4 linked regions of the Lepisosteus oculatus genome follow. The protein of the gene in region 4 binds, or shares a complex with, the protein of the main gene of each other region. Links are inferred from orthologs where the notes say so. Each region holds a gene or a part of one and is shown on either strand. Other genes may lie near its edges.

Region 1 (7,018 bases), on a different chromosome or scaffold from region 4:
AGTGAAGCACAACAGCAGAGCCAAACCTGCCATCGGCACACGTAATCTTCCAGCTGTGAATCCAGAGCCCTCAACGGCACTCCACACTGCACTATACTTTTTCTGATCATCACTACAGTATATAACTTGTTTTGTGCCCTTCAGTAAGATAAAGTCAAACTAGAATCATAAAGAACATAAGAAATGTTACAAACGAGAGAAGCATTAGGTATTCAGAAATTAACTGTTGACATGCTTCTTAAAAGAACATGATTGGGTTATTTTCCCCCGTAACCCTATGGTTAAAGATGCGTCTCCTCTTCTTGGTTTTAAATGCATTTCCACATAGTCTACACTCGGAGCCCTCTGGTTTGCTCTTCACTGTCCATTCTGAAGAAATCCACTGGCTTGACCATGTAGGTCATGTAGCAGGTCCCCCCGCAATCTTCTCTGTCGAAGACTAAAACCAAAACTTCAGCTCCTTCAGTCTGTCAGTGTAGGATGATCACGACTCTAATTCTTTATTCAGGACTTACTTGCTGCAATTCTTTAAATTTTCTTTTACAGCATCGTAATCTGTGTTAAACAGAGGCCCACTGTCCTTCAGCACCGCCTTCTGAATGCTGTACACATGCACACTGGCAATCACTACCATCTTGGACTTGACAGCTGTAAAGAGTCAATTAAAAAAAGGACATTTGTAAGACTCCAGGGAAGAAAAGCTCAGGCAAAACCAAAACGCATTCCTGTCATTTGTACTGAAAGAGATTTTAACCTGAAACATCAGTTGCTTTTGAATAAAATCTTAAGAGCGGGGAACTCAGATTTCTTTGTAGGCCCCACAGATTTGACCCGGTCTAGGTTGTAACAAACATTAAGAGTCAGAACTGGAACCAGGTTAAATAAAACCAAATGTTTCTCCAACTTGCCTTCGAGCTGATCTTCTCTCACTACTGCCACCTTGTGACTCTGCAAAGAAACAGTTTTTAGTCCACAATTTTCAGAGACTGATAGGTATTCTGAAGGACAAAGATAAAAAAAAAAAGATTCCTCTCAGATCAATTAGTGCTGAATTATACCACCGAACCTGACCAAGACTCCTCTCTTCGCGACTATGTGCTCTGACCCTGTGGTCCGGAGAACAGGAAGCACCTGAGCCACGCTGTCAAAGCCCATCCCACTGCTTCTTCCCAATAATGGCTGCGTGAGATGCTAGGATCAATTAGCCACTAAGAGCCTCCTCTTATTTGCAAACTTTCTTATTAAACACGTGTAGGACCAGGCTCGTGTTTCCAAAGTCAGTACGGCGAATGAGGCTGTGTCACGGAAACCAAAGGCGTTCGAGGCGCTGTAGCCCTGCGGCAGCCTGTACAGATCATCTCCTCGGTTGTGTTTCTTCCTCAAATCCATGCCTTGATCTGCTCACCGTGCTGCCATTCTCCGTCAGTTTACCAGACACCAGGTAAGTGGCGTGAAGCTGAGACCCGGAGCTCTCCTTTCTCTTTTGGTCTAAGTAGTGGTAAAGCATTCTAAAATGAAGAACATTGAATTAGTACACAAATACAATAGCTGCATATTACTGGGATTTCTATGAGAATAAGTTACATAAAAACCTGGAGCACAGCAAAGGCGCTTTTATGTGAATTTGTTATCCACAGAAAACTCACTGCACAAAAGCATTACACCAGATTCCAGCCCCTAACATCTGATTTCAAACTGAAGTATAATTACATGACTTTTCTTAACCTTGTTATAAAAGCGGAGGTTGTTACCTAACGAGAAAAATGCACCCAGTCCGTTGATTATACCTGCTAAACTAACTTGCTCAGTGATGAATACACAAATTGCACTGACAATCTCCAAAATGCAAGCAGAATAAACACAATATACTAAAAATGAAAGGAGGGAAGTATTCAGATTGTGACAGTGATACAGGGTGGGATGTCACTTACTGTTTTGCCTGGTTGACATGAACTCCCAAGGTGAGAGAAAGCCATTTGTAGGTAACCTGAATGAAAAAAGCACTGTCAAGAATATTGTAACAGTACAAGGTAGCTGTCATGCATTCATTTAAGAATCACCCACTAATGAAATCTGAATGGGTGCCTCACTCAGAGCTGAGGGACTGTCTGAAATAAGCAAGAATTTAGAAAGTCTCATTAACAAGCTTAGAGTCATGAAAGGGTGGCCCAGGACGAGGTGCAGTCCAATAAACATTTCCCTCGATCATTTCTGACCAACACATAGAACAAATGGCATTCAATTAATAAAACTCTACAGAACACCCTTCAGGTATTGAAATTAGTGGACTACAGATCTCATGCTATTCTGTTGAACTCAAAATACTGCCGATGCCAGCCGTGAGGTCTGACGTATTTTCGGTACATAGGTGTACGTGACATTTGCCGCAGGTCGCTAGGCTTTCAGACAAACTCATGTCAGATGTCCTTCCCCTATCGTTAGTGTTGTTTGAAACTTCAGCTTAACCACGTGTCCGTTTTCGACAGCCAACACTGAACACACCAGCACCTAATTCTCGGAGACCGCTTCCGTCTTTGTAACACAACGCAGAAAAGCCTGCTGGCCGTTTCACGCCGTTGCCGCTGTTCGTAGATGTAGCATAACGCTTGTTTACGTGTTGTAGAAAACAGAAACGTCTCCCTCATTCATCGCCAGCGACTACCATTAACTTGAGGATGTAGGTGCTGATTTATGTCGATAGATGCGCCCGACCACCGCGAATCGTGGGCAGTTTAGCAAAATGCACGAACAGCGACCTTCAGGCTCTGAAGGGAGCGCGGAAAATGAATCCACTTAACAAACCCGTACTCACGATTTTGTTTTGATCATGGATAAATTCATCAATGTTGTCTAAGTAGAGGTCATCCATAGCGCCCACTCCGTCGTCTGTCCGGGTCGTATTCGCACCACCCCTACTCTGCCGAGCCGAGCTCCCTGTTTCAGGCGGGAAAGACTCTCAAGCTCTGTTTTTCCTCATCGCGTCCCCATGCGAGACTGGAGTTCAAAGGTGAAGAGGTCGTTCCCTTAGAAACGGTAAACAACTTTCTATACGGGGGCCCGCCTGGGTCAAAATTACCTTTCCCACTTCGCCTTGCCGCGAACTCCATTTTACCGAGAATCGCAGCTTTCCATTAAATCCATTGCCTGCTTTTTCGTCTCTGTATCCCCCCTTTTATCTTCCACACGCATTTTCTTTTTCTTCTTCGTTTTAACCCGGTTTCACTGTCGAAACTTTCGCGGTTTCCTTGTACTTTTCAGTGTGACAACGACCTCTGCAAGTTCAGCTGTGCAGCTCTCACGTTGATGCCTGCAGTTCTTCACTCAAATAGTTTCTGAAACATTCTAATTACCTCTAAAACTTTTAACATATTATTTATTATGTAAAGCAGGTTTTACTAGTCCTCTTAGAGAAAAGTAATTAAGGACTGAGATGATGATTATTATTAATAATATTATTATTTTGCATATACAGTATGTAGCATAGAGTTCTATTAATATCAATACTTTTTCCATTCTAGTTTTTTTTTCAGACCAGAATGTTAAAAAATTAAGCAATTTGTTACACATTACCAAACATTTCTTCAGATTGAAGCATGAACAAAGCAGAAACTGAATGTGAACAAATGAATTACCTGAGGCCTGATGGTGGCATAACTCAATCATCAAAAAAATAACCATTCATTTACATAAATGTGAATGTATACGGAATTTTACACAATTGTGGAGAAAGAAATTTGAGAGACAAATAAAGAGAAAAAAAGGGAAATTATTTTTATTGTAGCATTAAGTATTTACTAAATGGAAAGTGGCCATTTTAATAAATGCAATCACACAAACCCAGCTCAGATGGTATTTTAAAAAACATAAATACTACAAGCTTTATGGTCTAAAGCACTGGGCCCTTTTACGAAGGTATATGTAAAGGTGTATAAGTTACCGTATGTCTCACAAAAATAAATGACTTATTCAGATCTCTGCGATTTCCTTCTTTAGAAAGAGACAAGTACATTGGAAAATGAACAAATAAATCTTGTCTGACCTATGTTAGACATTATTTTCTTTATGTTGGGATTTGTAATGAACAAACATTGCATATGTTCCAAGCAAGAAGCTTCACTGAGACAGTATATTACTACTATTGTCCTAACATGTAAACAGAGGTGCCCCCCAACTTTACAGTATTGGTTACAGGAAAAACATGGGGAAGAAAATGCTCTGGTAATGACAGGATGAGACACATGGGAAAATGGAATATCTGCACCGGATCTTTTGAAATACTGCTAGTATCGTGAATGACTTGAAAACAAAGCAGGAACACAGCCATGTTCAATATTTAAAGATTCACTTTGGAAATCCTGAGCGATAAGAAGCCAGCTGGAAAATGGAAGCTTCTGGTCCTCAGAAGATATGAGACACACAGCATCTGAATTGAAAAAAAAAATACAGCACTAAGTACAACAACTACTTTAAGCAGCACTTGATCATGGTTGGAACTGAAACGGGGGTTCTGGTCTCTTCTGACATTGTTTTGTCCATTGATTCAATACCAGAGAGGTAAGGGCTATGACAACTGGCATGTACTCTGAGAACGGGGCGCAATTAGTAACACCGTTCACAAAACTTGATATTCGAACACATTAAGACACTGGAATACTTCATTTTGCGCCATCTCTTTTTCATAAAGAGCATTTCTGAGATCTTGTGCTAAAATATACTTGATTGGAAGGAACAGAATTTAGTGGTGAGCTGCTTTTTGCTAAAGAGAGGAGAACCTGTTTTAAAAGCTATTATTTTTGGAGGGTCCAAGCACGTTGAAGCCAGGTCTGTTTATCGCATGTGGCTGTAGATGAAGAAACGCAACAAGAGCCGCCTGCACTCACACAAATCCTTTGTCACAGCCCAGAGGTCCGAAGGGTAACTCCTGAGGCAGACATGCAGTACGACAGACCCCGCTGTAATTTGAGCACCCCCAAGGAAAGCTGGATCCCACCTCAGCCCCATCTGGTGAAAAAGAGGATTAGATTGTTTTTTAAGATTCAGATTCGTTTGTCTTAAAACAAAATTTAACATAGTACTGTAACTACAGGTACAACACTCAATATATTGTCAATGTTTAGCTTGTGTTCAAACCTTTCAAAACTTCATGTGGGGGTTGAATGGGAACTTTATAAGGAAGAAATGAATAGCAGCGTATCCAGTAAGTAATCTAGTCAGATCATGGACATTTTCACGGCACTACAATATTTTTAACATTTCTGCTGAGCCTGTGATCTTTTCAAGCCATGAAAATGCTTAACATATTGTGCTGCAATCATCAATGCTACAGACAACAGTTCTCTCCTTCCGCCAAAGTTTTCTTATATAAAACCCAAATAACACAATAAGCGATAGTTAGAAGAACTCACGCGTCATGGTTAGAAATGCCAGTACCACCAAAAGGACCAAGCGCTGACAGTTCATGGCTGCCTGCTTTTGATGACACTTCAGTGCTTTGCTACAAGTCCTAAAATGTTTGAGAACTTTTATAGCTCCTTAGAAAAGTTACGTACTAGGGAAGGAGGAGTAAATCGAATTTGTTAGAAGTCAGTATTTATGTTAACCACGGGCAACCTTCAAAAGGTACAGTAGTTTAATGGAAAGAGTGATAACTGTAGGCCATTCCTAATTAGGTTTGGGGTAGGAACAAGGCCTTCATTCCTAAGCGCGTTCTTGGCAGCATGTCCTTATACAGTGTCATGGGACACTGGTTTCTAGAGAACAGAAGACTCTATGTGGAGAAAATAAGTTTCACCCGATGACAAACACATGGTACCTCTCACTGTGTCTGGTCCACAGCGCCACTCTCACACGGCTCTTTCTGTAAACGGATTAAGAGTGAGATTAGCAGACTTGAGATCATTGGCCTTAGGCCATTTGACACAGAAAATAGCCTTTACGTTTTCTGAACGTTTTCCTGATTTTCTGAATCTTTAATTTATTGATATTAATATTATAAATAAATATAATAAATATGATTAAACTATTCCCCCAGATCTACCGTGTGTCGATGCAGGCAAAACAATTGCATGGAAAGCCCGAAAGCTTAAAAAACTTTTAATTAGAAATAAACAGCTACTAATGTATACTATGTTTCTAAAACTTGAAATAAGCAGGACAAGACCAGTTACATTGACGTCACCACAACAGCGCCACCCCCTGCCGCTGTGCAGCAGTAGTGTCAAAACACTGTGTTTTGTCAATAAAGTTAATAATTTCAGAGGATCAGCTGTCAGAGTATGGCGGCATCCATAGGACGGATAAGTCTGTCCGAGCAAAAATACTGTAGGTAAGTTTCTTTTTGATTTAACTCATCTAAATTTATTCATGGTTTTTTTTGTTAAGTTGATATTTTAAATGTCTACTTGTGCTGTCGGTTTTTAAAAACAAATTTGCCTTAGATTTGTCTTGTGTAAATAATATAATTTTACTTTAGAAGACAATTTATACACACACCTCAGCGTGTGTGATGTTTATAAATATAGTTCATCATAAGTTTTATTCTGAGCCGAAGTAATAACACGGGCCTTGATATTTCACTTGTGATTAATCACTTTTTTATTGAATATAACCTACTTCTCAACGGTCAGCTGTTTTCTATGTTGTTAACTGTGTGGACGAAGAGGAGAGAAAAAAAAAACAACTTCCAGTAGGAAAATAAGTTTCTCGGGTTTCGAGGCCCGATCTGGTACAGTAACCATAAACAATCTCTACCAACTCAGGGGTTGAGACCTTGCTTTTCCCGGTCTGTCGTCAGGGTTATTAAAATTAAATACCATGTACTTTATCAAATGACAGTGCTTTGCATAAAATCACACACTGGAACTTTTTTTTTATAATGATATAAAATTCGATTCGATCTAATGTAGATGTAGTTGTGTAATGAAATTTGGAGTCTTTGTCTTATAGCCTTTTCTTTGTGTGAGTTATGGTATTATGAAAACAGCGGCGTGTTTTTGTGTTTTGACCTGCTGAAATTATG
Region 2 (7,243 bases), on a different chromosome or scaffold from region 4:
ACACCGCGACCCCAGTGCCCCCTGACCCCTCTGTTCTGTGACCCCTCTGCCCCTCACCACGACTCCAGTGCCCCTGACCCCACTGCGACCCCTCTGTCCTGCAGGTCAAGGGATCATCAGACAGACATGCTTGTGGAGCAGAGTCCAGAGTTGTCCATACCCACTCAGGACACAGACTGAATCTGAATCTCAGAACAGGGACAATCCCGAGCTACACCAGCGGGTCGGGGGAGTGAGTCCTCTGTCTCATTCTTATTGCGAGAGCAAAACAGACAGGCTGCGACGACCTCTGACCTCTCCAGATTTCAGCTCTGGTGGTTTGCCATCAAACACATAGACAGGCTTGATCCCATTTTCCAACATCCGGATAGTTCTGTAGAACATTCCCATCAGGTGACTGACGGGAACAGAGAGAGGGGTGAATACAGACACACTGACTGGACACTCCAGTACATTAACAGGTAGGCAGTGAGACAGGTTTTTTACCTGGTGGTCTCTCCTTCCTCGTTGTGCAGCACGTTGCCGTCCAGTCTCACAGCTATCAGGAACTGGTAGATACTCATGGATGCGTCGATGGCGATCTTACGGCCTATCGGGTTGGATCGTGAAACAGTGATGCACAGAGACACCGACATGAAAGATAATTCCAATTCAATTCAAGCTTCTTTTTTGGCATGACAAATGAGTAAGATGAGTGTTACCAAAGCAAATCAAATATAATTAACATAAAACAATCTACCGACATTTACAATAAAGACACATCATAAGATATTTTCATATAAACATATGGAGCATTACTGGGAGACAGACTCACTGTTCCTCAGGCTGTGACATGAGATCACATACTGGGCTGCCAGTTCAACTGAGTTCCCTCCTCCCTCTCCCAGTAGGATTGGGACCTGTTGTGATTCTGGCAGGTGTGGGAACTCTGGGATTAGATTTCTGAATTTTGGGAAGAATGTTTCTCTAATCCCAGAGTATCTGTCACAGTGCAGTAGGAAGTGCACCTCTGTCTCTATTTCTCCCCGCTGGCAGTGGGAGCACAGCCTGTCCTCTCTGGGCAGCCAGGTCTGCCTGTGTCCAGGCTGTGGTCACTGAGCCTGTCCTCTCTGGTCAGCCAGGTCTGTCCTCTCTGGGCAGCCAGGTCTGCCTGTGTCCAGGCTGTGGTCACTGAGGCTGTCCTCTCTGAACAGACAGGTCTGTCCTCTCTGGGCAGCAAGGTCTGCCTGTGTCCAGGCTGTGGTCACTGAGGCTGTCCTCTCTGGACAGTCAGGTCTGTCTGTATCCAGGCTGTGGTCACTGAGCCTGTCCTCTCTGGACAGCCAGGTCTGTCTGTGTCCAGGCTGTGGTCACTGAGGCTGTCCTCTGAACAGTCAGGTCTGTCCTCTCTGGACAGTCAGGTCTGTCTGTGTCCAGGCTGTGGTCACTGAGGCTGTCCTCTCTGGACAGTCAGGTCTGCCTGTGTCGCCCAGTTTCTGTGGCCAGGCTGTGCTCACTGAGCCTGTACTTCATCAGGGTCTGGTTCGTTTTGCTGTTATTTATCTTGGTTAGATATTCGGCTAGTGCTTAAGGTTCTCACAACATGCTCACAACGTTAGACAACAAGCCCCCCCTCCCCTCACGCCACTCGGGGCACTTCAGCTCCCGGGGGTATTTCACAGCGGGGGGCACAGCGCACCCCTCTCACCACAGCCCGGGAGACGGCAGGCGGTCAGTACCGAAGTAGTTCTTCATGTCGTTCTCCTTGATGGCGCCGGGCGCCTGGTCCGCGATCAGCTTGGCCAGCCCGTGGATTCCCATGGCGACGGCCGCGGCTCCCTGGGACCCTGGGGGGCGAAACCAACGAGCCCGTCAGCCCCGTCGCGCGCCGCACGCCACAGCCCGGCGGCCCGCGGATCTCACTGGGGCCCGTCGCCAGGCTGCGCCCTGCGTCGTCGCAGACTGCAGCTGCGTGGGTGGGCCAGACGAACCCCTCGCTGGTGTTTCCCCCCCACAATCGATTACTGCAGCGCCCCCGCTCGCTGGGGTACCCCGAGGCTGCCCTGAACAAACTTCATCAGCCAGGCTCCTGCCCCGGTCTAGTGCAAGTGATCACATCACTCCTGTCCTGGAGTCCCTGCACTGGCTTCCAGTCAAATTCCGTGTGGACTTTAAAATCCTCATGCTCACCTCTAAGGCTCTGCATGGCTTGGCACGTCAGTACCTTTTTTTTTTTTTTTTTTTATAATGATAATGTTTCTTTATTAGCCCTATACAATTTCTTGCATTAGGAATGCATCTTTTCGCATACCCCAGCTTTTCTCCATGGAGACACAGACACAGAGACAGGGAGAGAAACCTGTCTGAGCTATTATCGCCCTACTCCCCACCTCGCGACCTTCGCTCTTCTAATTCTGGGCTCCTGTCTGTGCCCCGAGCCCGTCCACACGGGGTGACAGACACTTCTCCTCCTGCGCCCTTAAGCTCTGGAACTGTCTCCGAAAGGATAGCAAAGTCACCTTTCCCCGACCGTTTTCAAATCCGAGACTCCAAACCATCATCTTCTACAATTAAAAGCCTTTTAGTCAACTGTGTTCAGTGATAGCATCAGCGTCCGTCCCGTGCGGGTCTCGACGGGGGGTCTTGAACCCGCGTTTCGCGGCCACGGCTCCCACCAGCCGGTCCTGCACACAAATCATCACCCCTGAACCCGAAAACACAGCCGCACGCTGGACAGTGGGGCCAGCTCCGTGCTGGACGAGACGAGCGCGGACAAAAGGGCTTCACCCCCCGGGTTCAGCGCTGCGCCTCTTGCAGCTACTCCTGGGACACAAGGCGGGACCGCTTCTGGATAAACAGCATCATCCTTACCAAACCACTATGTCGTTTCCGAAATTCCTTCCACAGCCCTTTCGGCAAACAGCGGTGCCCGAGTGCTGCTCTCACGCCCGGCTGCAGCTACCGCGCCAATACCATGCGTCGCTTTCGCGCGAAACTCGGCGACCAAGCATCTCTCATCGACCGTCGAGCGAGTCCACGTTCGAGTCAGGGGGATCGATCAGTTGCATTTGATTGGTGTTGCCTGACGAGGAGTGATCCAGGAAAGGGCGTCGATCGACGCAACATTGATGCCATTTTTAATGTCATTGACGTGTGGCGCTAAGGCTCGATACGCGATATGTTATGCCTGCAAAGGCTTTCGCTCCAACCGTGAGCAGCCTTGAAGCCTTTGAGGCGCCATTTTGGTAATGGGAGAGAATGTTACCGAAAGGACAAGTATCTTTTTTTCTTTTTTTTTAATCTAAAAATTGAAAAAATATCACAATCAAAATCTGAATTTCGTCTTAACCCTCACCAGCTTTGATTCCTATAAAAGATTATGATCATAGCTTTCAAAACAAGCTGTATTTTCAAGTTTCTAAATAGATAGTATTTTTCAGTGTCACTGAAGGAACAAATGTACCAGAAATCGCCTGAGGTGATGCGAGCGTCTTCTCTATTAATCTGTTGCGGTTTGATAGCTCACTAACTTATTTTCTAAATGAAAACTTTCCTTTACAGCATATCTCCAGACTATTTCCAAATGTAAAAACACGAAAGCTGTGCGTACCTTATCTTTAATTACCTCATTTAATCTTTTTTTGGGGGTAAAATACAACTGTATTAAGTACTCCTGATAAAGTTGTATGTACTTTTGCAATGAGTGTATGTAGTTCTGTTGCTACAATAAAAAAAAGTTTCCTTTACCAATATGGCCACCACACCTACACGCCCCTTTGGCGTCGTCACACACACACACCTATCTCCTCCGTGGTGACGTCCTCGGGGCAGGCCCCGCCCCACCCGGAACAGCCCGGCTGGAGGTGTTTGTTTGGAAGTTGACGTGGATTAGGTGTCTGCTCTGCGCCTGCCGCGGAACCCAGCTCGGGTTGAGACCAGCCGGCGACATCCGAGATCCCGCGGGGCCCTGGCCTTGGTGGAAGACGGAGAAGAAGAAACAGGTCGCAGCACCCCCCCACACACACCACACACACACACCGAGGACTGCGAGCGGCGTGTCGCCGGAGTCGGAGCCCGCTTCTCCGGCAGCTGAAACGGGCAGCCCCGGGGAACGGACGGGGACGAGGAAACGGGCCGGGGTACGAGCCTAACATTTCGCTGCGATTTTAGACGTACAGGAGCAGCGCCTGGCAATCTCTCTCTCTCTCTCTCGGTCGGGACAGGCGGAGGGAGAGAGTGTTTGCGCCTGGCCGGGCTGGACGCAGAGTGACTTGTCCTTCTCCAGAGGCGCCGGTTCTCACCTGCCCGCGGGGCTGCGCGGTCTCTGCCTCTGTCGATACGGCGGGGCGTCTTTCCAAACCCGAGCTCTTCTCCGCTGTCGGTGCCGGCTCCTTCGGGAACCCTCCCCGTGTTTGCAAATGTGAGCGGGTGAAATTGTGGATCGGTGCATTTCATGTTCCGTCTACAGAAGGACTTTTGTTCTTCGTCTTTAAAAAAAAAAATTGAATGTAGTTTTCCTTTATGAGTGATTAAGCCGCGTGTACAACTTCTCGTGACCTGTCTGTGTATCCAAGTTGGATATTTGTTGGTAAGGGACTGTGTGGAGTCTGTATGGTCTTCCTGAGTCCACACAGGGTAATTGGTGTCTCTCAATCGTCTCTCCCAAATGTGTTTGGGGTCCGGTCAGTGTGTCTGCAGCAGGGCTGTCCAGTCCTGGTCCTGGAGGGGTCAGTCAGTGTGTCTGCAGCAGGGCTGTCCAGTCCTGGTCCTGGAGGGGTCAGTCAGTGTGTCTGAAGCAGGGCTGTCCAGTCCTGGTCCTGGAGGGGTCAGTCAGTGTGTCTGCAGCAGGGCTGTCCAGTCCTGGTCCTGGAGGGGTCAGTCAGTGTGTCTGCAGCAGGGCTGTCCAGTCCTGGTCCTGGAGGGGTCAGTCAGTGTGTCTGCAGCAGGGCTGTCCAGTCCTGGTCCTGGAGGGGTCAGTCAGTGTGTCTGCAGCAGGGCTGTCCAGTCCTGGTCCTGGAGGGGTCAGTCAGTGTGTCTGCAGCGGGGCTGTCCAGTCCTGGTCCTGGAGGGGTCAGTCAGTGTGTCTGCAGCGGGGCTGTCCAGTCCTGGTCCTGGAGGGGTCAGTCAGTGTGTCTGCAGCGGGGCTGTCCAGTCCTGGTCCTGGAGGGGTCAGTCAGTGTGTCTGCAGCGGGGCTGTCCAGTCCTGGTCCTGGAGGGGTCAGTCAGTGTGTCTGAACCCAGGCTGTCCAGTCCTGGTCCTGGAGGGGTCAGTCAGCGTGTCTGCAGCGGGGCTGTCCAGTCCTGGTCCTGGAGGGGTCAGTCAGTGTGTCTGCAGCAGGGCTGTCCAGTCCTGGTCCTGGAGGGGTCAGTCAGTGTGTCTGCAGCGGGGCTGTCCAGTCCTGGTCCTGGAGGGGTCAGTCAGTGTGTCTGCAGCAACATGGTTTGTGTCTTGTAGAACTCGATATACAGGTTCCTCTAAATACCTTCTTAACGGACAGACAGTGTGCCTTCAGACGTAACACCACAGCCAGTGTGCGCATTGAGTCTGTGTCTCTCTTTAATTCAGGGAGTTATTGGCATGGTTACAGTGTTCCCAAAGCAGTAACAATTAGTACAAATACCTACAACAGTAACATATTATTAGTAGGAACAAGTAATAGGTTTATTCCATGCTGAAAAAAAGAAGAAAGAGAACACAACGTTTCGGCCGTGGAGCCTTCTTCAGCTCACACCTGAAGAAGGCTCCACGGCCGAAACGTTGTGTTCTCTTTCTTCTTTTTTTTAGCATGGAATAAACCTGTTACTTGTTCCTTTGCAGCCTATGCATGCTGACGCAGCTACCCATCTGAAATATTATTAGTAGGCTGACTCTCTGTTCCTCAGGCTGTGACAGGAGATCACGTGCTGGGCAGCAGCTCTGTTAAGTTTCTTCTCCCAGTAGGATTGAAGGCTGTTCTGGTTCTGGCAGGTGTGGGAATTCTGGGATTAGATGTGTTATTTTAGGGAGGAATATTTGGCTTATCTCACAGTGTTTCTCACAGTGCAGCAGAAAGGGGATCTCTGGCTCTGCTTTAACTTGATGGCAGTGAGAGCATAGCCTGTCCTCTCTGGACAGCAATGTCTGTCTGTGTCCAGGCTGTGGTCCCTTAGCCTGTCCTTTCTGGACAGCGATGTCTGTCTGTGTCCAGGCTGTGGTCACTGAGCCTGTCCTCTCTGGACAGTCAGGTCTGTCTGTGTCCAGGCTGTGGTCACTGAGCCTGTCCTCTCTGGACAGTCAGGTCTGTCTGTGTCCAGGCTGTGGTCACTGAGCCTGTCCTCTCTGGATAGCAATGTCTGTCTGTGTCCAGGCTGTGGTCACTGAGCCTGTCCTCTCTGGATAGCAATGTCTGTCTGTGTCCAGGCTGTGGTCACTGAGCCTGTGCGCTCTGCCTGTGTCTGGTTTCTGTGTCCAGGCAGTGGTCACTGACGATGTCTATAGTCACCCTTCTCTTCCTCTCACAGAGGCTGTCATGATGATAAGACTGGGGTTGCGATTGGCTGGCGGGGGCCTGTGGGCTTGTCTGCTGAGCTGCTGGCTCCTCCCCTCAGGGGGCGGGGCAGCCACCTACAAGCAGGGCGACCCCGTGACCCTGTATGTGAACAAGGTTGGCCCCTACCACAACCCCCAGGAGACCTACCATTACTACACCCTGCCAGTGTGCAGGCCCAAGGAGGTGAGTGAACTGTGAGTAAGGTGTACCGCAGGGGTTCCCAGCCCTGGTCCTGGTGACGCCCACACCTGCTGGTCTTTCTTCTGATCCTTCAGTGAACTAGTGAATCCAAGTTTCGGCGGCCAGTGAGTTGGTGGGCTTTGAGCTCTTAAGTCCCCCAAGACTGAAAACCAGTAAAGAGCTTCAGTTGATCCTATGTCTAGGCCAATTAAGAGCCCGATTGTGCAAAGTGAGAGCTCGTCTAGAACAGAATCTGGCAGGTGTGTGGAGCACCAGTGCACCTGGTGTAAAGGAAGAGCAGAGTGTGAGCAATATGTGCCAAAGGAAGGAAGCGCAACGTTTCGGCTGTGGAGCCTTCTCCACAGCTCTTCAGAAACTGAAATGTTGTGTTTCTTTTCTTCTCTTTTCAGCCTGGAATAAACCTTTACTTGTTCCTTTGCAGCCTGCGCATGCTGACGCAGCTCCCTAACTACTAGACATTTCATTACCAGCAGCTACTGCTGCAGGCTGTATCGTTGTGCTTTTGAGAAATCAACTTTGATTGATTGGTTACC
Region 3 (7,470 bases), on a different chromosome or scaffold from region 4:
TTGACTTCAACATTTTACTTTTTTTTAACTATTGTCTATCTCTTCAGCCTTGCACTCATACATCTACATAATATACAAAGATAAATATATATAACCTACAGTCCATTTATATATACGCTAGTATACACATATAATCCACTGAGTTTCTACCATAGTGAAAATATTTAATCTTACAGTCAACTCCTTAAAGAAGGAATGCCAGAACTATCTTGTGAAAAATGTAATCAGCTAATAAAGTAACACCACAGTACCTTTCCTTGGGTAAAGTCCCCTGTGGAGAGCCTTGCTGGTATGAGGTGTGCTGAAGGGCCTGGTAAGGGACAGACTCCCCTGCAGGCTACGCTCAAGGACTGCACAGTCATAAGCACTCAAGTGCCTTCTTTTGGCCTTCCCTAGCTCAGAGCAAAACAAACTGCTCAGACCAGGTATTGCGACTGTTATAATGGGTCAAACTGTACTGGAAAACCACATATTGAACCCCTACAAGACAATATCATATTCCCTTCTTTGTAATGCCTGTTTGGAAAAGTGAGGAGGGATTAAACAAAAATAAGAATCTTAGGCAGTCTAAACATAGGAAAAACGCAAGATGTCTAAATCCCGCACTAGTGATGTTCATTCCATCTAAGCTTTCGATCACTTACATTAATGGTTAAATTAATATGTTTAAACAGGCAAAGGTAACATTCCCAAATATTTTACATACAGCTTATTTTAATAATACCCAGAAGGCTTATGGAATCGTTAACCTCAATAACATAACAGTAAGTTAGATGCCACAGCTTTATATACCACTACAATTACAAAAACAAAAGGGGGGAAAAAACCGTAGTTACCTCTGATTGCCGTTTCCATGGTGCTTCATGGTGGTGACGTCCAAAACACCAGCGCGGAACACATGGGTGACCCTGGAGCAAACCAAGAGTGACATAGTGCAGTGCCTGCACTGATTGATCACACAGCCCTGTTTAACTAGCGTGCAAAATAACTGGCATGTTTAAATAGTATGCAAAGCCATGTCTAAAACAGAGGGGATATTAAAAAGTTTGCAACAACAGAATTCACAAATCTCAAAATAGCTATACCATGCTACATTTTTTTAACAATTCTTTTAACGTATTACAGTATAACATTAGTACAGCCATCACCTGAAGGTGAAGCAATTCCAGTGCCACACTGCACTCAGATTTACTGTTTGCATGCAAAGCCCTTCCACAGCTCTTTTGTGCCATAAACACAGAGCTTGCCCCTTAAGTCTTAATGCATAACCAAAACCGAAATGTCTAAAGGCTTCGGCTTTGCATAATTGTGTTTGAACTTTTTTTTTTAACTTTTCAAAACAGAATAACAACACAAGTAAAAATCACACAGAGACTGGGAGCTCACATGGGGAGTTAAACGAAAATTTCCGCAGGACAGCATAAGCCACTGAACCTTGTGTCACAGTAGCTAGGTGCTTGGGTGAATAAAAAATAATCTTTGGCAATGAATGCAAATAAGTGTGACCTAAAAGTACCTTAGGTGGGTAGCTGCGTCAGCATGCGTTATGCGTTTGTGTTTATGGCACAAAAGAGCTGTGGAATGGCTTTGCATGCAAACAGTAAATCTGAGTGCAGTGTGGCACTGGAATTGCTTCACGTTCAGGTGATGGCTGTACTAATGTTATACTGTAATACATTTAAAAAATTGTTAAAAGTACCTCAGTCTACACCCAAATTCACCAGAAGGCAGCAAGCAGACCTGCCACAAAAAGGTGCCATGCCACTCCCAGTCACAAGCAAATCAGTTAACAGTGTGTAACACAGGCCTGCCCAAAGACACTGGCACTACATCTGTGACAGACAGGGCCAGCACACTTTAGGTTGACCTGCCAGTATTGCGCAAACTGAATGTGGAAAAGGTGCTGTACCTGCTTTTTAAAAGAATAGAAACCAGTGTCTAAGTGTTTTTTGTTCATTGCTATGGAGACCGGGAAAAAAAAAATCACTGTGAACTTTGAAAACACACCTTACAAAAAAAAATGCATTCATTTTCTAACTGCTTCTTCCCATTCCGGGTCACAGCAGAGCTGGAGCCTATCCCATCAAGCAACGGGTGAAGGGGCAGGGTACGCCCTGGACAGGACACCAGTCCATCACAGGGCACACAGACACTCACACCAGGGCCAGTTCTCCCAGAAGCCAGTTAACCTACCAGTATGTCTCTGGACTGGCGGGGAGACTGAGGCACCTGGAGGAAACCCACATGACCACCGGGAGAAGATAGTTACTACACACGGACAGCAGAGCAGGAGTGGAGCCCAGCGCTAAGAAACAGTACTGCTAACCACTGCGACACCGTGTCACCTGATGGAAAATATTTTATTTTTTCAAAAATAAATCCCGAAACTTTGTATTTGTTTTTGTAACCTTGGTACAACCAACTTAATTACATACAAGGAGTATGCATTTAATTGTAGGATGCACACGCTCTCCCCAGTTGTAACGGAGAGGTTACAAATACTATTTTTCATCTCAGTGGACATGTCTGCGCTTAATCACTGTTTAGGCCTAAATGCAGTTCACACATTAATGTGACATTTTCATTGAAGTTTTGTTTTCCTGCCAAGGAAAACATCAGCCAACTTGATCGCAGCCTAGTTCTTGTTACATTATTATTTTCAAGCCTTATACTTTCAATAGGCCAATACACAACAACGTGACTGTCAGCTAGGCGTTCACTCCGAATCAAACTAGAACTAATAAACATTTTCATTGGAGTCTGATAAGCAGCAATTCCAGCAAGTCCAGAGATGACAATATTTTAAGGATGCCAAAATCCAAAATAAATAACCCTTTTAACAATTAAAAATCAACATAGAACGAAACAAGGTTAGAGAATATTTTTTGTTTCCTCACCTGTAAACTTTGATGGTCTGCTGTGAATAAATAATACCAATTACAGTCTTGACAATAAAGACGTTTCCCTTCCACTTTCAATATGACGTTTACCACACTTCCAACTGCGGGTCACCCAGACTGACCAATGGGAACGCCTTTCGTCATGCAGGTTGAGCCTATGATAGGTGACGTTTTCCTTGTTTTACCCGCCTTCCTTGACGTAGTAATGTCGTACTTACGGCATGGCTTTTGCTGCGCCGATCAAACGGTTTAGCTTGGGAGAAAAAATACGTTTTGTTGGAAAACTGGAAGATACATCCAAATGCGATATTCATTTTTGGATCTATAGCTGTTAGTAATTGCATTGTGGTGAAGACGCTTTTCTGCTCGAAGTGCTATTTCGTATAGTAAAACTGTCAGTGTATAACGCAGGGATATTTTTTGTTGACCCGGCTTGTAACTTAACTAGCCAGCATCTGAACTGCAATGTATCTAAAATAGTCGTATTACGATAGGCAATGAAAAGATGAAATAAGCATTTTTAACTTACCTTTTCTGGGTGACATACTAGCATACACGCCGTGCAGCAATCAAGAACTAACAAACTGGAATTTACAAAAGCGGAAATGTCCCATGTGCAATTTTATTTTTTCCAGTGAGTTACATTATCACAATGGGAAAAATAGATGTTAAAGTTCGTATAATCACAAATTTGTATTTTAACAATAGATGCACCTTGCCAATAAACTAGTTGATTGACTTTTATTACAATATGGGGGAGGAAGATACACTCAAATACCTGGTCAAGTTAACGCAAGAGGGACAATTGTCTCTAATCAGAAAGGTGTTAAGTGAAAAGGAAAACATTCGGAATTTGATCAAAAGGAAACATTTCGGAAAATCTGGAGACACGTTGCTACATTATGCTGCTAGACACGGTCACCTGGAAGTCTTAAAGTTTTTAATGGAAGACACCGGTTTGGACATAGAGCTTCATAACAGCGATTATAAGACGGCTCTGCACGAAGCGGCGTCAATGAGTCACAGGGAATGCGTGGTGTATCTCATTGCGAAAGGGGCGAATATAGACCGTTTAAAGAAGGCAGACTGGTAAGACTTTGATTAATGATGAATCAGGTCGTACAACCACAGTTTGTGTTATTGTTGGAAATGCCAACCTGCAGCTCATTTTCATCGTGTTCGGCATACTGCAGTACTTGGACATAATACAGTAGACTGCATACACTCTGGACACATAGCAGCTCTATTTATATTGCGTTTTGTCTGAGTTTATTTTATTCTATTGCATTATTATCTATTATTATGTAATCTTATTTTTGTGATTTTTATCTCCCCCGGTGAGCTCATAGAAAAGACATTTCATTGCCAGTAACTACTGCTACATGCTGTATTGATGTGCATTTGATAAATAAACCTTGATGATTTTTTAGCACTTACATGAATTTTGATTGAAGGTGCAAGTAGGATCACTCTCTGCATACAGCCTGACAATAATTCATCATGTCAGAGTAAGTAGTGAAGATGAATAGTGAATGACGTAATTTGGGAGACTTTTTTAACTAGTGATGTATATTGTAGACAAACACCTGTAGCGTTTACAGGTTCTTTTCAGCAAAAAGGACCAGTGGAGACGCGGTTCACAAACCAAGCACTAACTTTATTCATTAACAACCACTCAAAATAAAACATAGGATATACACGCACATGACGAGACTGACGGAACACGTACACAACTTTAGGGTGGTAATTACTTAACAACACGCTATACTTTTATAAGACTACACAGGGCACTAGAACTACTAGGACATTATTTACACAGGTAGGGTCAGCCGCTGGTCATCGTGCTGACCCTCAGACTCTCCCCGGCTACCACTCCCAGCATGCCCAGCGGTACTACGAGCGCCTAGGGGCGCTTCCTCCTCACCACCAGGCGAGGGCGTTACACACCACTTACAGAGAGACTATATATATGTACAAAACAGGTTTAGTCACACCCGAAGAGGGCTCATCAGAGATTTAATCTTTACTTGTTCCTAACTAAAACAGTTCTAACTTTTAAAAAATGTTATAGCTAAATGGCTGTTAAAAGTAGCCTACATTTTGTTAAACAAACTTATACGGTCTTGTTATATGTTTAAAACATGATGAAATGAGAAATTAGTCCATAGTTGTCCACCAGGGGGCTTCCTGAAGAATAACCGCAAACCCCTTGCTGTTCCGGTTTAGAAAAATAACAAGAGTACGACACTTCTGTATTTACCTTCCAGAAACCAAACTGAACAAATCTGGTACATGAAGAAAACCTGGAGTCTGCTCGACTCTTAATCTCTCATTCTGAATATCCAGCAATGTGTGCACAATGCCCCCTTAACATTTAACATAAAGACCCGAGCCCTGGATTTGTAATTTGCTCAGGCTGTAAGAACTGATCCACGCTGTTAGCATCTGCCCCTTGGCATTAATAACATGAGTTATTAGTATGCAAGAATTAGCATATAGGCTTGCGTTCATGGTAATAAATAGAATTTCAAGTTCTAAGAGCACCTGATGATTCTTTGTTTTTTTTTTATTCTAAACTAAAGTAGAAGTTACTTATTGTCTGTGGTGTCCATTTGGCAATGCCAAGTCTAGTCAATGTGGCTGATTAGTACAGGCCTTTTCTATTCACAGAAACTGCTGCAAATGTGTACTCAAAAACACATTCTTGTCAAGTGGTTCTTTTTTATTATTTCAGCCCACAGCACCAATAAGACAAGTCAGTGATGCAGTTCTCACGAGTAGCACTTCACACTCAGTTGGTGAGCCACATGCAGTAGGTCACCCTTGTGTAGCATCATGTAGATGATATTCTTGCCTCAAGGTCATGCGAATCCAGCAGTGCCGAATTGTGCAACACCATTGCGAATCCCATTCACAAAGCTGTGCTCCAAATGGGCACATTTACTTGTTGGATCACGTAGAAACCAGATTGAAATGTGTTTTGCCTTAAAAAAATATCAGATCAAGAATTATTTACCCACCAAAAATCTTAAAACCTGTGTAAATGTGGGTCATTCTACAGTATGTTAATATGTTTGTAATCCAAATTATAGTCCCTTTTAAGAATTTAACACATCGTTAGTTTTTCTCTCCTTGCAGGACGCCTCTCATGATGGCCTGTACAAGGAGAAACCTTGATGTTATCAAAGAATTGATTGAAAATGGAGCAAAGCCAGCGCTGAAGAACAAAGATGGTTGGAACTCTTTCCACATTGCATGCCGAGAAGGAGATCCCTGGGTCATACAGTACCTGCTGGACACCTGCTCAGGAGTGTGGAAGACGGAGAGCAAGACTCTCAGAACTCCACTGCACACTGCAGGTAAATCAGGAATGAACAGATCTGTCTTCTCAAATTTATCTTCTTCATAGGCATGAGTACAAAGACGGTTTCATGCAGTACCTAAAAGATTGACAATAAAGAATTATGTGTATTATTAGATGGGGATAATTTTAGTCAAAATGCCCTATCTATGGATCTTGTTGTTCTCCAATAAGTAGTTATCCTAATGTGTTAAGTCTACAGCTCTTGGTGTAATGTATTCCAAATGAATTATTTCATCCTGCGCTAAGTATCTATGTTCTTTTTAAAGAGTGTAATAGAATTATTCATTATTCAAAGTAAATTAAAAATAGATCAAAGATTAAGACTGTTAAAGGGGGAGAAAAGGGGAATGAGAGTGATAAGATCAGCTGGGGGTGATCTTATCACTGTCCTAATGGTAGTTGTCTAAAGATAAGTGGTATATATTACATAAACACAAAATATTGATCATCTGTATACTAAAATCTAATTCTATTGCTGGAGGCAAACAGCAGCTTGGAAAAAAAATCAGAAAAGTGAGAACTGCCAAAACAAACAGCTAAGCCTGGAAAAATACAGATGATGTCACGCTGCTCGGGGTAATCAATGCATATAAGTCCCTGTAAGTACTGAAAGGCAGGCACAAATTCAGAAACCGTCAGTGTGTGAAATGTTCATGAATCAGAGGATTTCACTGTTGCCGAAATTAAGCTGCTGTATGCAATATAGCATCTAGGAAGGGGAATAAATTGATATGAATGTCTTGAAAATTATAGTTCAATAATCTCTGAGCTTTGGTTTTGAAAATTGTACATCTGTTAAACAAACCCTATTTATGACATCTGCTTTGGAAACAAAGGCAGAGTTGGATAGCAGAGCTAACAGAGGTCAGAAAGTTAAAAGCTGAGGTCAGGTGGATATCAGTAGATATAAGAAAGTACTGTAAATTAAATCTGTTAAATGTGTTACCTAAAGCTGATGTGTTCTAAATAGCAAAGGTATCACAGTTTGTCTTATTTGTGCCTCCAAAAGCATTTTTTTTCAGAATGCATTGGAATTATGAATTCCATTATGAATGGAATAACAGAATTATTCTGGATTTATTTTAAAGTCCTACTTTTTCTTTCTAGCAATGCATGGATGTGACGAGGTTGTTAATATACTGCTCGACAGGTAAGTTTGATAACTGATTGCTCACATTTTGAATACAGACAAACAAGCCTATGAAT
Region 4 (7,970 bases):
TGTACTTAAACGATCAGTCTAGCGTTCTAATCACTGGATCGTTAAAAACCTGCTCCCTCGGCGCCGACCTGGACTACAGGACCACCGACGAGCCCGGGACCCTCTTCAGGAGAGGGGCACTTACTGGGATCCCCAGCTGCTCCACATCGAGGTCCATCAGCTTCATCTCGTAGTCCGACACCTTCTCCTGATCTGGGGGGGGAGGAGACGAGAGGGAGAGTCAAGCTCCTGGCGCCCCAGGGTGAGCTCCACTGTCCTCTGGAGCAAAATCACAGCACCGAGCACAGCCCATCACCAACCCCGCCCGGTGATACAAGCCGAAAACAGGAAGAGGCCGCTCGGACTAGTTAGCAGCGGCTACCTGATCCTGTCCGATAACCATCGCCTGTTCCACACTCCCACCCCCCCTTTGTGTAAGGGAGTTCCACAACCCCGAGCTCACAACCCACTCACTGAGCGTCTCGAACACCAGGGCCAGCGTGTCGGCGTTGTCCTCCGCGCGCAGCGTGATGATGTCCTCGTTCCCTGCGCACTTCAGGATCTTCGACATGCTGCAGCGACAGGAGAGAGCGTCCCTGAGTGGCCCCGCAACTGTCCGGCCCCCCCAGACCTGCCGGGTCAAAGCTGCCACTCTCCGCCACCCCCACATCCCGGAGAGACGGGCCCCTTCGCAAACGTTCGGGAGCGAAGCAAGAGGTAAGGGTTTATTCCGCGCTGGAAGAGACAAGTTCGGCTCGGGAGCCTTCTGAAGGGTGAATGAGGCTCCACAGCCAGACCCTCGTCTCTTTTCCTTTTCAGCACAGGAATCAACAGGAAGTTTCTGGACTAAACGCATCTACTGCTACATCTGTTCTCTTTCTTTTCCCCCGTTTACAACCATTTTTTGTGCAATATATGCCAGGGACCTGTGCAATACATTTATATGTATATCTATATTTATATTCATATGTGTGATACGATTTTTCTGTGTACTGTTCTGTTCTAGTTTGTTCTTTGTGTGTCCGGACTGTGAGTAACTCTTGTATTGTATTGTATGTATTGTACTATTATTATATAATTCGTTACACTGTGGCTGTGTTGTGTGTGTTAAGCTGCTGTTGCACTGCAATTTCCCTCACGGGATCAATAAAGTATCTATCTAACCTTGACTTGCGGCTTTGCAGCCCAGCCATGCCGACGCAGCTCCCCGCCTGAACTTCTTCAACGTCTGGGGACGCCGTTCATCTATTTATTGACCATCAGGGGGATTTTAAAATCTAGTCAGCCCAAAAAAATCCTCACCTACAGTGACTAGCAGCAGGTCATCGGAGAGATGTCCCAAATCAACACCCCACATGCCACCTGAGCCCACATCTCTCTCATCCCGAGACAGGACACTGAACTGCTGCTCCTGGCCGTCTCCCTCAGGGTGATCTGCCCCTGCACAGCGAACTGTCGGACACCTGCCTCTGTTCTGCGAAGGTGCATTATTCATGTATCATCTACAACGCGTCCATCGCCATTGCAGGGGGAGTAAATTTACGGGCTCTGTCTGCTTATGAAATGTTCTATTCGTTTGAAATGTTTGTTTGTACGGTTTTCTGGAAGTTTCTGTGCGCAAATCGGGCTGCCTGTATGCCACACAAATCTCTGAAGAATCGCATATAGTATTTTATGGCATCGATCTTCTGAATCTAAATGTTAAAAACTGACACTCACTCGAACAAGTGAGACGCTGATCATGCTCAGACCTACAGGGCTGCGTCTCTCCCTGCACGCAGAGCACATTGTACTTTCCCGCCAACAAGACCCCCGTTTGCGAATTTGGCGCCGAAGTGACGTCACGGGGCAGGGGCAGCCATGCCGCCTTTTGATTTCCTATTCCGTTTTCCCAACTCGTGGCGCCAGAGCAGCAACAAAAAAAAACCATCCAGGCGCCCGAGTTCACTTTGACACAAACTTAAAAGGGGCAAAACAGGGCATCTACACGCCCTGTGATTTACAGGCTGAGTGCTCAAGTTAAAAAAGCCGGAACTGAAATACAGACCTCAGGGATAACATTTATGAACTTATAACAGCGATGCACCGTTTATTATTCTTTAACGCATCCTGGATTGCTATTTCGAAAAAAAAAAACAAACGCAACAGATCAATAGCGCTGTATATTATATAAGTTATTTTAGTCATTTCAAATTCCCAGAACGGTTCAGTCAGGTGACGGAGCGCCAGTCCGGAGATCCGCTCATGTACAGACATGCCCGGCGCGGCGCTACTACTCCAAGCACAGAGCACCGTCCGGGGAAACGTCAAGACACCCGGGTCACGGGGGAATGGGCTACTACTACTTTACTGACCAGCACCCGCGAAAACTAGTTCCCTCTGCGCCACGGCGCGCAGTAATTATTTACAACGACTTCACCGCTCTAAAACTCAATGTGAAGAGCCGATCGACAGCGCACTTTATAACCCGTGTTAACAGGCGCTTTGGAAAATACAATAATGCATCAGATACGCAAGATCCGAACCCGGGTGTCGGACAGCAGCGCGCGGGAGGGCTGCCCGCGGACGAGACCTCCTCCCGGGACCGGCTCGGCCCAGCTCAGCTCACCTGCTCAGGTTCACCCCCATGGCCAGGTTGCGATCGCAGCGGTAGGAGTCGAAGCCGTCGCTACGCAGCGTCAGCTGCACCAGCGAGACGTGCGAGGAGTCCATGCTCTGCAGCGAGATGCCGGACGAGCTGATGTCCCAGCACGCCTCGGTGATCAGGTCCTTCAGGGCCTCCAGCACCTTCTTCAGGATCGAGCCCTGGACCAGCCGAGCCTCGAACATGTTGCAGGAACGACCTGTGTGTGCGTGGGCGTGCAAAAAGAGAAATGGGTGGAAACGCAGGTTCCTCAAGCGTCAGGCTCAAAGTTATTGACTCCTGGCTAAATAACCGCAGCAGCACTAACTATGCTTGCTACTCCGGCGACTGAAATACAAAGACGAGCTGGCGGGAATCGCCGAGTTTTATTCTTGTTCCTCTGACGTCACTACAACCCCTCCGCCCACATCCGGGAAACCCCGACCGTCACCCAGGCGATGATTGGCTAAGACGCGCGTGCCTTGGTTTGCGCGCAGCATAGAGACGACTAAAACACTGCGATTTTCATCAGAGGTAGTCAACTATATACCCAGGGTCAAACAAGCACATTATGAAGTGCGATGTTGTCCTCAGTCGGTCGTGCCGACGAGGCGAAGCACCCAGAATCGAGCGCGGCAAATCACTGGGAATGACACCGAGATCAGCCAATCACCGCTGGGGAGACGGTCGGGGACAGCCCGCCCACCCGTATCCGCCATTTTGGCTCTGGCTTTTCCGCGTTTACCCTTCACTTCAGCGAGCCTCCTCGCAGACTGGGTTCCCATCCGACTCGACCCCTGGAGGAAGTGCCGTGTAGTTTAAAAGGGCGCTAATTTGTTTTTATGTTTTTTTGTTCTGAAACGCACAAGGGAGTTTGTTGAGTCAGGCGGTAAAAACATGGCCTGTTGACACATTGGACCACATTTAGAATAGGCATAAAGTGCTGGAAAAGAAAATGTGTAAGAACTGAAAGTAAAGGATTTTTAAGGTGATTGATTAGTATTTTTCTCATGTAAAATCAGGGATGCAGAGCAAAGGTACAGTATTCCGTGATAGGTAAAACTAAAAAATATATTTTTTAATCAATTAAATGAGCGCTTTTCATCAAACCTCTGACAACTGGACAAAAATATCAAAAGAAATTGTCTTCCTGAAACCAGCGACTACTCTTTTCATTCGGATTCCTGTCCTTACACCCACTTTTAATGAGTGTTAATAAGTGAGACACAAACAGACGAGAAAGGGAGAGAGGATCAGCACAGCAGTCTAATAGTAATGAACTAAAAGATGTATTAATATTCCAGGATCAGCAAGGTCTACAGTCTCAAACTCTGTTTCTGGAGGGTGCTGGCATCTAGATTGTATTCCAACCTGAGCAGTCAAACAATTAGCCTAATTATTTTCTGAGCTGGACATATGCCTCATTTTTCTTGAAGTCTTTTATGATTACACTGAAGGTACAGATACCTATACCCCCCTCTGAGCCTGGCTAGATGTATCACAGCTGTGCAGCTCGTGAGATAGACCATCAGTGCAACAGCGACTGTTCAGAAGACGCTGGGCTTTGCAGGCACCCAGCTCTGCTGGAGGAAGATGCCCTCGTGATGCTCCAAACCTGGGCTGATGAGTAGTAAAAGATACCACAGGGGCAGAAGGAACTTGGTGGTTACCATCATCCCTCTGAGGTTTAATTTCCACAGCACCGCCGAAGTCAGCAGGTCTACAAAATTCAGGTTGGGAGCCTATGAGCATAATCTCAGTCTTCTCAATCAAACAGCATAAATCTCCATCTGTCACAGTTAAATTGAGCATAATCTCAGTCTTGTCAATTAAATTGAACATAATTTCAGTCATGTCACAGTTACACTGAGCAACATCTTGGTCTTTTCCATTAAATTGATCTTAGTTGTAGTCCTTTCCAGTACAATGTGGATACAAGAAAGGTTTAATGTCTGATGGAGTTTGCCCATGCTGTCCCATGGGGTGCAGCGATTGACAGTATCAAAACGCAGCACTTTAAACCAGGAGAAGATTATGGAGTGACCCCAAGTTCAAGCCATGATGAATTAACTACTTTAACAACCGATTTACTTTAACCTGGATGAAAAGGTTTGAGGATCTCACTGGCAGCCACGGAAGATTGCAATTGAGCCGACACCTCCCTTTCAGGACTCTTGGGTAGGAAAAGGAGATCAGAAACAGGACAGCAGTTGTTAAGGATCTCCACATCTAGGTGTGAAGTTTGCGGTTAAGAAAAGCCTGGCCTAAAGGAACAAGCCCCGATTTCTGGGACTCACCGATGAGGGCAGCAACTGGAAGAGAAGAAACTTCAGCTACTAATACCACTTACTGTGCCGCCGATGGGAGAAATTCAAACCTGTGGACGGAGAAGACGAGGTCGTCGCGACAGCAGGCGCAACTGGTTAAGGAAAGTGATGAAGACTGGTGTGAAAACTACACCAATGAGTTGCATTGTTCGGGAGAGGGAAAACAGCAGCTAGTTCAAACATTTTACTGATGGCATAAGAAAGGACTGTAGGAGTACTGCAACCCCTCTCACACGATTGCAACTGTTAGTTGTGTTCCTGCAGAACTAAGGTACACTGTCAAGTGTACACTCAAGGCAAGTCGGACCTTTTTAGGTGCATTTACACGGTGTTACTCTTGTACGTGTAGTGCTGTTCTGTTTTTGTAAACTCGGTAAATTGCAGTAAATGAAGTCATTAGACAAGTGCTTACACTGGAAAAATAATGCTAGATGATAAACCAGCAACACGCAACATAAATCAAGAAAACACTTTCATCATTTAGGCCTTTTTATTGCATCGTGTTGAGGATCCAGTTTTTCTCCGGACACACACACACACGCTCTGCGAACCGTTTACGTGTACAAACAGCAAAAACGTCTTGTCATTCACTCTGCTCCGACAGACACTCAGAGGCAGGGCAGGACGTAGCGTGTGGCCATGGCCAGGATCGGCGCTCCGGTCGGGATTCCTGGGAAAGGGCCGGAGGAGCCGGCGATGTCGATGTGGGAGTAACGCAGAGGCTGTTCGGAGTCCGTGCCGTGCTACGGGTGAGAGGGAGGAGTGAACATGTCAGTACAGAGCAGAGTTTCCCCAAGTCCAGATCCCAGGATCCTACATCCAGAGCGTTTTCTCTATGAGTCTTATCTACAAAAGCTCAATGCAACAGCCCAGACACTGCGATGTGGAGGACAAGGGGTTCTGGTGTGTAGTGTGTACAGTTGTGTGCTCGATGTCCAGCCTAGACACTGCGATGTGGAGGGCAGGGGGGTCTGGTGTGTAGTGTGTGTACAGTTGTTTAATGTGTGGATTGTTGTGTGCTCGATGTCCAGCCCACACACTGTGATGTGGAGGGCAGGGGAGTCTGGTGTGAATAGTACAGTGTTGTTTGCTCAGTGTCCCAGTGTCTTGATGCCATGATGAGGAAGGCTGCAGGGCTCTGGTGTGTAGTGTGTGTGGTTGTGCGTTGTGTACCTTGTACAGCCCTGATGCCATGATGAGGAAGGCCGCGGGGGTCTGGTGTGTAGTGTGTGTGGTTGTGTGTTCTGCAACTTGTCCAGTCCTGATGCCACGATGAGGAAGGCCGCGGGGGTCTGGTGTGTAGTGTGCGTGGTTGTGTGTTCTGTGCAGTTTTGTGTACCTTGTCCAGCCCTGATGCCATGATGAGGAAGGCCGCGGGGGTCTGGTGTGTAGTGTGCGTGGTTGTGTGTTCTGCAACTTGTCCAGTCCTGATGCCACGATGAGGAAGGCCGCGGGGGTCTGGTGTGTAGTGTGCGTGGTCGTGTGTTCTGTGCAGTGTTGTGTACCTTGTCCAGCCCTGATGCCATGATGAGGAAGGCCGCGGGGCTCTGGTGTGTAGTGTGCGTGGTCGTGTGTTCTGTGCAGTGTTGTGTACCTTGTCCAGCCCTGATGCCATGATGAGGAAGGCCGCGGGGGTCTGGTGTGTAGTGTGCATGGTTGTGTGTTCTGTGCAGTGTTGTGTACCTTGTCCAGCCCTGATGCCATGATGAGGAAGGCCGCGGGGCTCTGGTGTGTAGTGTGCGTGGTTGTGTGTTCTGTGCAGTGTTGTGTACCTTGTCCAGCCCTGATGCCATGATGAGGAAGGCCGCGGGGGTCTGGTGTGTAGTGTGCGTGGTTGTGTGTTCTGTGCAGTGTTGTGCACCCTGTCCAGCCCTGAAGCCATGATGAGGAAGGCCGCGGGGGTCTGGTGTGTAGTGTGCGTGGTCGTGTGTTCTGTGCAGTGTTGTGTACCTTGTCCAGCCCTGATGCCATGATGAGGAAGGCCGCGGGGGTCTGGTGTGTAGTGTGCAGTGTTGTGTACCTTGTCCAGCCCTGATGCCATGATGAGGAAGGCCGCGGGGCTCTGGTGTGTAGTGTGCGTGGTCGTGTGTTCTGTGCAGTGTTGTGTACCTTGTCCAGCCCTGATGCCATGATGAGGAAGGCCGCGGGGCTCTGGTGTGTAGTGTGCGTGGTCGTGTGTTCTGTGCAGTGTTGTGTACCTTGTCCAGCCCTGATGCCATGATGAGGAAGGCCGCGGGGCTCTGGTGTGTAGTGTGCGTGGTCGTGTGTTCTGTGCAGTGTTGTGTACCTTGTCCAGCCCTGATGCCATGATGAGGAAGGCCGCGGGGCTCTGGTGTGTAGTGTGCAGTGTTGTGTACCTTGTCCAGCCCTGATGCCATGATGAGGAAGGCCGCGGGGGTCTGGTGTGTAGTGTGCGTGGTCGTGTGTTCTGTGCAGTGTTGTGTACCTTGTCCAGCCCTGATGCCATGATGAGGAAGGCCGCGGGGGTCTGGTGTGTAGTGTGCAGTGTTGTGTACCTTGTCCAGCCCTGATGCCATGATGAGGAAGGCCGCGGGGCTCTGGTGTGTAGTGTGCGTGGTCGTGTGTTCTGTGCAGTGTTGTGTACCTTGTCCAGCCCTGATGCCATGATGAGGAAGGCCGCGGGGCTCTGGTGTGTAGTGTGCGTGGTCGTGTGTTCTGTGCAGTGTTGTGTACCTTGTCCAGCCCTGATGCCATGATGAGGAAGGCCGCGGGGGTCTGGTGCCCACGGGGGGTGAGGGTGGAAGGCAGGTTGTTGCTCTGCAGGAGATCCTCGTACTCCGACTTCCCGCGGTGGAACTCAAAATCATCGCGGCGGATCATGGACACCTCGAACACGTCGCCCAGCACCTCCCCCGCTGGCACAGAGAAAGGACAAGGATTGAGCACGGGGAGAGGAAACGCGGGTCGTCTGCGACGCGCGACACGGCTACAAGATCAAGCACAGACGTGCTCACAGCGCCGGCGCCTCTCACCCTGCTGCCACTGGTGGGCGTTGCCTGCCTTGCGGGCCTCTCCGTTGT

What was found. The genes of interacting proteins can lie anywhere in the genome.
Region 1: the proteins of pcna (region 4) and pold3 are in contact, whole or in part, in a crystal structure (PDB 1U76), measured with the Homo sapiens proteins. The link is inferred for Lepisosteus oculatus from reciprocal best matches to the Homo sapiens genes PCNA and POLD3. Residues at the interface, in NP_002583.1 of Homo sapiens: Met40, His44, Val45, Ser46, Leu47, Glu124, Gln125, Leu126, Gly127, Ile128, Pro129, Thr206, Ala208, Asp232, Val233, Pro234, Tyr250, Ala252, Pro253, Lys254, Ile255, Glu256, Asp257; in NP_006582.1 of Homo sapiens: Ala453, Asn454, Arg455, Gln456, Val457, Ser458, Ile459, Thr460, Phe462, Phe463, Gln464, Arg465.
Region 2: the proteins of pcna (region 4) and fen1 are in contact, whole or in part, in a crystal structure (PDB 1UL1), measured with the Homo sapiens proteins. The link is inferred for Lepisosteus oculatus from reciprocal best matches to the Homo sapiens genes PCNA and FEN1. Residues at the interface, in NP_002583.1 of Homo sapiens: Cys27, Asp29, Met40, His44, Val45, Ser46, Leu47, Ala67, Met68, Gly69, Asn95, Ala96, Asp97, Leu118, Met119, Asp120, Leu121, Asp122, Val123, Glu124, Gln125, Leu126, Gly127, Ile128, Pro129, Glu130, Gln131, Glu132, Glu201, Pro202; in NP_004102.1 of Homo sapiens: Arg19, Phe27, Gly28, Arg29, Lys30, Lys80, Val167, Lys168, Ala169, Gly170, Pro188, His208, Ser210, Arg211, Leu296, Lys297, Trp298, Ser299, Glu300, Arg332, Ser335, Thr336, Gln337, Gly338, Arg339, Leu340, Asp341, Phe343, Phe344, Lys345.
Region 3: the proteins of pcna (region 4) and fbxo18 are in contact, whole or in part, in a crystal structure (PDB 8F5Q), measured with the Homo sapiens proteins. The link is inferred for Lepisosteus oculatus from reciprocal best matches to the Homo sapiens genes PCNA and FBH1. Residues at the interface, in NP_002583.1 of Homo sapiens: Met40, Ser43, His44, Val45, Ser46, Leu47, Leu126, Gly127, Ile128, Pro129, Ala208, Asp232, Val233, Pro234, Tyr250, Leu251, Ala252, Pro253, Lys254, Ile255; in NP_835363.1 of Homo sapiens: Ser56, Gln57, Arg58, Cys59, Ile60, Pro61, Phe63, Phe64.

Annotation. Positions count from the first base shown.
Region 1 is NC_090700.1:1,978,515-1,985,532, forward strand, and holds the start of pold3 (DNA polymerase delta subunit 3), read right to left. Parts: upstream 3,007-7,018; 5' UTR 2,870-3,006; coding exon 2,813-2,869; intron 1,988-2,812; coding exon 1,932-1,987; intron 1,509-1,931; coding exon 1,406-1,508; intron 949-1,405; coding exon 909-948; intron 649-908; coding exon 516-648; intron 1-515. Other genes in the region: defbl1 (beta-defensin-like 1), read right to left, coding at 4,399-4,423, 4,881-5,001, 5,406-5,460. UniProt on the Homo sapiens protein: Accessory component of both the DNA polymerase delta complex and the DNA polymerase zeta complex.
Region 2 is NC_090699.1:14,454,834-14,462,076, forward strand, and holds the start of fen1 (flap endonuclease 1), read right to left. Parts: upstream 3,007-7,243; 5' UTR 2,851-3,006; intron 1,827-2,850; 5' UTR 1,801-1,826; coding exon 1,719-1,800; intron 590-1,718; coding exon 487-589; intron 398-486; coding exon 295-397; intron 1-294. Other genes in the region: tm9sf1 (transmembrane 9 superfamily member 1), read left to right, coding at 6,489-6,692. UniProt on the Homo sapiens protein: Structure-specific nuclease with 5'-flap endonuclease and 5'-3' exonuclease activities involved in DNA replication and repair.
Region 3 is NC_090702.1:43,577,034-43,584,503, forward strand, and holds the start of fbxo18 (F-box DNA helicase 1), read right to left. Parts: upstream 3,007-7,470; 5' UTR 2,898-3,006; intron 909-2,897; 5' UTR 866-908; coding exon 837-865; intron 413-836; coding exon 252-412; intron 1-251. Other genes in the region: ankrd16 (ankyrin repeat domain-containing protein 16), read left to right, coding at 3,652-3,989, 6,039-6,259, 7,372-7,414. UniProt on the Homo sapiens protein: 3'-5' DNA helicase and substrate-recognition component of the SCF(FBH1) E3 ubiquitin ligase complex that plays a key role in response to stalled/damaged replication forks.
Region 4 is NC_090697.1:65,499,229-65,507,198, reverse strand, and holds the start of pcna (proliferating cell nuclear antigen), read right to left. Parts: upstream 3,003-7,970; 5' UTR 2,809-3,002; coding exon 2,588-2,808; intron 552-2,587; coding exon 454-551; intron 193-453; coding exon 125-192; intron 1-124. Other genes in the region: putative aminopeptidase W07G4.4, read right to left, coding at 5,538-5,672, 7,624-7,805, 7,923-7,970. UniProt on the Homo sapiens protein: Auxiliary protein of DNA polymerase delta and epsilon, is involved in the control of eukaryotic DNA replication by increasing the polymerase's processibility during elongation of the leading strand.